Linked DNA regions of Tribolium castaneum. The protein of the gene in region 1 interacts with the protein of each later gene in a pairwise test. Links are inferred from orthologs where the notes say so. Each region holds a gene or a part of one and is shown on either strand. Other genes may lie near its edges.

What was found. The genes of interacting proteins can lie anywhere in the genome.
Region 2: the proteins of GPN-loop GTPase 1 (region 1) and GPN-loop GTPase 2 interact in binary tests that used the Homo sapiens proteins (3 or more experiments, as listed by UniProt). The link is inferred for Tribolium castaneum from reciprocal best matches to the Homo sapiens genes GPN1 and GPN2.

The regions. Positions count from the first base shown.
Region 1 is NC_087401.1:17,593,850-17,597,443, reverse strand, and holds GPN-loop GTPase 1, read right to left. Parts: upstream 2,225-3,594; 5' UTR 2,083-2,224; coding exon 1,920-2,082; intron 1,868-1,919; coding exon 1,273-1,867; intron 1,210-1,272; coding exon 1,019-1,209; intron 970-1,018; coding exon 860-969; 3' UTR 528-859; downstream 1-527. Other genes in the region: Sxl (sex lethal), read left to right, coding at 1-28, 93-250, 298-464; rifampicin phosphotransferase-like, read left to right, coding at 2,601-2,712, 2,763-2,878, 2,940-3,078, 3,127-3,286, 3,341-3,451, 3,499-3,594. UniProt on the Homo sapiens protein: Small GTPase required for proper nuclear import of RNA polymerase II (RNAPII). May act at an RNAP assembly step prior to nuclear import.
Region 2 is NC_087394.1:30,157,283-30,161,143, forward strand, and holds GPN-loop GTPase 2, read left to right. Parts: upstream 1-1,366; 5' UTR 1,367-1,864; coding exon 1,865-2,416; intron 2,417-2,467; coding exon 2,468-2,704; intron 2,705-2,757; coding exon 2,758-2,868; 3' UTR 2,869-3,347; downstream 3,348-3,861. Other genes in the region: uncharacterized protein LOC664179, read right to left, coding at 1-45. UniProt on the Homo sapiens protein: Small GTPase required for proper localization of RNA polymerase II and III (RNAPII and RNAPIII). May act at an RNAP assembly step prior to nuclear import.

The DNA.
Region 1 (3,594 bases):
GAATGCCACGTGGAGTTGCCTTTGTCCGGTATAATAATGATGATAATAATAATTATTAAAACTTTGTAAATAATAATTTGTTTTTCGTTTAGTTTTTCGCGAGGAGAAGAGGCCAAAGCTGCCATAGCCGACCTTGATGGCAAACTGCTTGAAAACGCAATGCTTCCGTTGAGTGTTCGCGTAGCAGAAGATCACGGCCGTCAAAAAGCTCAATATTTGGAAAATTGGAGTTTTTCAATGCACAACAGGGGTAAGAAACGGAGGTTTTGACTTAATTTTGGCATTTCGGGTGTTTAGGTTTTGTACCACCGTTTCGAGGAGGGACAATGAATCCCTTCAGGAAAATGCCACCACAGCCGCCTGATAATTTACAAAACCGTAATCGCTTCCAAAATTATAATTCGAATAATGTGAGAAATATGGGAGCAGGCGATAATTATCTACAAAATTCGTTTTTTTGTTAATTGCTTCATTTTTTCTTTTTTGTTTCTGACTGAGAATGGTTTTTGTGTTAATTGAAGAGTTGATTTTATTTTACAAAGTTTCTATATTTATTTTTATATTGATAGAAAAGCGTGCCAACTAATTGTATGTTGAACGCTAAATACAATAGACATTTATTTATTTATTATTATATATATTTATATAAAATAGGAAAAAATATGTACGCAATTGATGTGCCTAAGAAAAAACTTAACACCAGCTATGGTTTTTTTTTTCTTTTTGACACACAAAATGTGTTAATTTTTTTCTTAACCAACGATCTGAATAATTTATTGTAATTTATTTCTAGTTTCAAGTGAATAAAATTTTAATTGTTGTTTTCTATATTTTTTCCTTTTATTTAATAAATTACCTACTAGGTTTGGTGTTTCTTCATCTCTGCTTCTTTTGCCCTTTTCACTTGCATTTCTCTTTGTTGTTGTAGCACTTTTTTAAACACATCGTCTTCTTTTTCATTATCAACATCTAATAAAAGAATCAAATCAAATAATAAATTAATCAAACAAGTCCCTACTTTGTTGATATGGAGCCGCCTGTTCTTCACCCTCAGAGTCTTCACTACTGTCATTACCTGGATGTCTTAGAAAAACATCAGACAATTCGGCCCCAGCCGACAACGTAAAACATTGTTCATTATTTTTCGATTTTTCCAATTTTTGTGCTTCTGATTGTTGTTTTATTTTCAACCATTCGCTTCTATATTCACTAAAATAGATATAAATAAATAAATATTCCAGTAACTACAAAATATAGAAATAAAGTTATTACGTTTCGTATAAAATCCTAGCTTCGTCTATTAGTTTATATAAATCTTCAAGTCCTTGTCCTGTGGCAGCGCTTACTCCACAAACTTTTAAATTTCGGTAAAACTCATCCAATGTTAAAGCCATAGACCTCGTCAAATTGCTGATGTAGCTTTCGTCGTCAGCAGCTTCAAGTGCTTGTTGAAACGACTCAAAATCGGTCATCCAATCAACAGCATATGAATGATCAACGATATCAACTTTATTCATAACAACAATGAAAGGAAGACGCGTTTTATACAAAATCGAGCAAGCGTAAAGCATGTTTGACATAAACGTAACAGGAGAAGTACTTCGCACACAATCAACAACGTATAAAATGATTGTTGGTAAAGTTGAAGCCAAAGTTTCGGTAATAATCGAACCCGAAACCGACCAAGTAAACACCTCAATTTGACCAGGAGTATCCAAAATGCACAAATCATGATTCGACTTTTCAATAAAACCAATCACTTCAGAGAATTTCGTTGAAAATAAGTTCAAACTTGTGACGATAGCACCATTAGGGCCTAATTTGTACTGCTTCATAACCTCCTTGTAATTTACCGTATCTCTAATATCTGTAATTTAACATTAAATCCCAAGAAAACTTTGACGCCCGCGAATACTTGCCAATATTAGCGAAATAGGGTAAATTGAAACAAGCAGGGTCCAAATTCACAACGTACGGTTTTTTCGGAGAATTTGATAAGCGAGTAACAAGACAAGTTTTGCCAGAACCGGCCATTCCAAGCACTATTACACTCACGGGAGCTTTGCCCCCCGTTTCGGACATTTTTCATAAAATAAAGTGGAAAAAAAGTTTGGTTAGCTTCATGACATTTGACAGTTGGAACAGAAGCTGTGTATTTAGGTTCAAACAATCTTTGCAAATTTGTGCCTCAAGACAGAAAATTTTTGATTGTATATAATAACTTTTAAATCAATTCATGTAATCGCTTTTGCACTAACTGGATTTAAAAAACCCATAATTTAATTTTTACAAATTCTCCAGTGGCGTACTTTCTGGGGTTCTTTTTTTGAAAATTACATTTAAATCACAAAAATGTTCACTTCCGTTTCGGAATGATGGCATTGACCTATGATACTAATACTTTCATGTAATAATAAGCAATGCAATTATCTGTTTGGCCTTGATTTATGTTTACATCACTGATCTGTAAATGTGTCTCTATCCAACTCCAATCCAAAGTGCTCACGCAGATAAGTTAAAATTTCAAGTTTAGATAATAATTATTATTATCTCAAACACCTGTTTGAAACATTTAATCGAAATTACTTCTAGTCGTGACCATGGAGCTCTTACTCAATTTTTGTTATTACGTAACACTTTTTCTAATTCCGATCTCACTCTACGTTCTTGTATTCCAACATCGGACAAAAAATCGTTTTTACACAAACCGAGGTATTTATTTCTTTCCATAATTAATTATGTATTTACTTGATTAATTTTAGATTGGTTTTATATAATTAAATTCCTAATCGCAAAATCGGCCGTCAAAAAACATCAAAACAAATTCAAAACAAAAATTAACATAACCGAAAGTCCAATAGAAATTCGGACGGAAAATGTAAAACATTAAACTAATCTATTAGATAAGTTAGTATCAATTAATATAATTTTTTTTACAGTACTGTGATAATTATTTTATATATGGAGCAGATCAAAAAGGCAATAGTCTATCGTTACGTTTTATAATTGGGTCAGGTCTAGTAGGCGAGGTTTTTCTTTGTTTACGGCTTTCAACAGGCGCCATCTATACATTTCCTGGTAAACAATAATATTAACATATCTAACTGTAATTCTATTAATAAATAGGTGAAAAAAAGACAAAACAGTATAATCTATCAGATTGGCATTGGAAAACAAAAGACCTCCATTTGGAAATTCTGGAACCATTCAAACGTCACCGAGTGACATTTAATGGATTATTGAGCAACGCCACCAACGATATTGAACATGTCAGATTCAATTTGACGTAAAAATCAAATAAAATTAATTGGTCATATGATTTAAATCATTTTTGTTGCAGTTGGATTGCAACAAATGCTCCCCGTTTTCATCCCCAAGACGCCGCCACTGACTTACTCACCAATGCACTTGCACAGCACCCGTGGCGTGACGGTGATTGGCTATCACTGCTGTAAGAATAACCAATCAGATGCAATGTTATTGAATTTTTATTTTAAGAGGGGATGAATGCGGGTACGAACAATTCGGTGCTTTACACGGATTTATCAGAGGCGACTCGTTTAAAGATGACTTTTTTGTAAATTTACCGTCATG
Region 2 (3,861 bases), on another chromosome or scaffold:
TCCAAGTATAAGGGCAGCACAAATGATTCCGGCACTTTGAAACATTTTCTTTGATCTTGTTGTCCCAACTCATACAAAAAACGCACATTAACTAATTGCACTGATTTGAAAAGTGCGGTATTGACGTCTCCCTATCTGTTCGACATTTAGTTGTACTAGCAGGAAGACGACATGACGTCACTGATTCTCCCCTCTACGCAAAGACGTCATCAAGCGTCGAATCGATTGGATTCACTTTGCAGCTTTTTCGAAATAGAGCGCTTTCAGATGGTTTTACTAAATAAAACTGTCTTGCAACAAGAGAAAATGGGACTGGAAATGGCACTCGTTTGAATAATTATGTAACCTGTATTTAAACCACTGAACCAGAAACTCGGAAGCGTCGCTTCTTGTTTTTTAGCCTTCACCTGTGTGGATGAGGTTTACAAATGTGTGGCTTTGAATTTCTTTATGCAGCAAAAAGAGTTTAAAAAACGAGTACGAGCGAAGCTTTGACTAGCTTTTCTTTGAGCTTTTATTACAGAATGATGCAAAAAGTACTGCCAGCTAATATTTATACCTAATTTACACCATTTTAATTTGTATCCCCTCTATTTGAATTAATTACCACATTAGAAAAAACAAATTAACAATTGCCTCAGAAAAAATATAATTTTTTAAAGATAAAAGTTTCCCGAAAAATGTTAGTCACCAAAAATGATACTGTGAAAACTCCAGGAGAATCCAGTGAGGCAGAGAGTATAGAATAGTTCGAACATAAAGAATCAATTATCGTGAGGTTTCATCAAAGATATTTTTTAATATGTATTAAAAAAGTTTTTTTTTCAATAAAATAATATACGCATTTTCATCAGCATTATATAAAGTTCGAGGGCTATCTTTATGCAACGAACGTATGTGAGTTACGTACCAAAACACCCGAGAATTTTAAGCGTGTTCGCATAAGTGTTATTCAAAATTTTTTTCGTTAGAACATTTTAATTTAAAAGACGTTGCTATGGGAAGCGTGTTTTAAAATAGTGAAAACACGTTGCTATCGGAAACGTGTTTTATAATCTAGGATTCAGATATTAAAAAGAAGGCTTAAAAGGTTACCAAAAAAATTAATTTTTAAGGTTTTTTTTTAATTGTATTTATTTATGAATTGTATAAAAACCATTTTAGATGATTCATTAAATAACACTAGTACTGTCTTAACAACAGTTTCAATTGGCCACATCCATAACAGATCACACGCATCGGTTTACAATTTTTGGAATTTTATGATTCTAATAAAAAAAAATATAATTAATTTTAGACCAGCCCCTGTACACAAAAAATTGAGTAAATAAAGTCCTGCAACCAAGAATACACCAATGTACAGTCCCTGACAAAAGTCGCGAACACTGTCAAACTACCACAACCTCACTTTTCGAACTAATTTTAGTGAACCAGCATAATTTCGTAATTTGTAATTATGTGTAAGTGACTATGGAAGTGTCCTCACTCATAAATTCATTGTCCCTAACCGACAAATCAAATATTTTCAACTTCGCTGCAAAAATTAACGAAGTACCCACCGAATTTGCAATTGGTACTTTCACGAATCAGAATCTCTTCGTGATCACACAATTCGGCAAATTGTACAGTTTGTACTCAGTCTCAGTGGACCAGACTGAAAACGGAGTGTGTGCCTCCGAACCTGTCTTTTCAGTTCATCAGTTATTTGGTAAAGAAAATATCTACGCAGAAGCTGCCGCCAGATTCATAACTAAAGAACTCAATATCAGGAAACAACTACTCATTTTCCTGAACTTGAAGGAGTATTCAAGGGACACAGTCCTCGGTATTGTTGAAGCTATTAAGAACTACTCCCAGGATAAAGATGTCTGCGGCAAAGAGAACAAAAGTTGCTGAGAATCACTTTGGCCAGGTTGTAATTGGGCCCCCGGGTTCTGGCAAAACCACGTATTGCGGCAAGGTTTACGATTTTTATAAGGACAAGTTGAACAGGAAAGTGGAAGTTGTGAACTTAGACCCAGCTAATGAAAATATGAATTATAATCCTGCCATTGATGTTATGAAGCTGGTGACTGTTGAAGACGTAATGGACACTTTGAAGCTAGGGCCCAACGGGGCCCTTATGTACTGTATGGAGTACTTGGAGGAAAATTTTGATTGGCTGTTGAAGCAGTTGATTGAAATTAAAAACAGCTACTTAATTTTTGATATGCCAGGACAAGTGGAGCTCTATACACACCATAATTCTATCAAGAATATTTTTGGGAAATTGGAGAAAATGGGCTATCATTTGTGCGCTGTCCATATGGTGGATTCGCACTACTGTTCAGACCCTTCAAAATTTATTTCAACCCTTTTATTGAGTCTTTCCACAATGATGCAAATTGCCCTACCACATGTTAATGTTTTAACAAAGGTAATAAACGAAAACATTTGTATAATTTGTGGACAATAAATTTCGTTCTAGGCTGATTTATTGAAAAAGAATGCGGATAAGTTAGATTTCAATATTGATTTTTATACTGATGTTCTAAACCTTGATTATCTACTAGACTTATTGGATGATGCACCACTTACAAGTAAATACAAAAAACTCAACAAGGCTTTGGTTGATTTAATTCAGGACTACAGTTTGGTTTGTTTTGTTCCATTAGATGTTAAGTCTGAGAGGAGTTTATTAAATTTGAAAAGCGCTATTGATAAGGTAATATATTATTTCAACCAATTTTAGTATTTTACTCATAAAAAATTATTTAGGCCAATGGCTACATTTACGGCAGCGGGGAGGAAAGAACTATTCAAGCCTTACTGTCATGTGCAGTTGGATCAAGAACCGAAAGTGAAAGATATGACGCTGATTTCTTTTAGTGTTTAATTTGTTTCACAAAATAAAAAAATTACTGCATTTTGTTTTTATTACTCCTAAATTTAAAGTAAACCTACCACTACTTTGCTGGAGGTTTGGCCTTCTGTTTTTCCAACTGGGCCCTAAAAAATTATTCGTAGCTCTTGTCCACAAACATCTAATTTTTTACCTCAATTGTTTGTTAAAGTCGTCTTCCACGTTATCATCCTCCCAGTTATCTTCCCAGACACTAATATCTTGCTCATCTTTGTCCTTCCCGGTCCAATCTGAAAGCAAGAGAAACAATTCTGCAAATCACTTTGTAACCTCAAATTTACCCTCAACCGGAAATTCCTCAAACTCATCGTCCTCCTCAAGAACACCAAGATCTAACTTAGGTTTCTCGGTCATGTTTAGATTTTGTTTTATCGATATAATTACAAAATTTGAACGATATGATCGTAAAAAGTTGAAACGTTATTTTCAGAAACTTTTCTAGAAACGACAATTCGATTTGCTTACATTACAGGAAACTGTATTTTTTTTTACATAATGCTGCAACCTGTGGTGGAAGGGCCAAACTTTTACAAATCTTACAGAATTTTCCGATTAAACATTTTTTATTTTTAACTAGATCGTGCAAAGAATTAAATTAGGGTATAATTTGATTATAAATTACAAAATAATTACCAATATTGTAAAAGTAGTATTGCTTTTATCGTGCAAAAACTTTTCTAAAAATGACAATTCGATTTGCTTATATTACAGGAAACTGTAATTTTTTACATGATGCTGCAATTTGTGGACGAGGAACCCAACTCTTACAAGTTTTACAGAATTTTCAGATTAATATTTTTTATTTTTAAAGATCTTGCAAAGAATTAAATTAGGATATGATTTCATTATAAATTAAAAAACTCACCAATATTTTGTACGTAGTATTGCTTTTATTGTGCAGAAACTTTTCTAGAAATGACAATTCGATTTACTTATATTACAGGAAACTGTAATTTTTT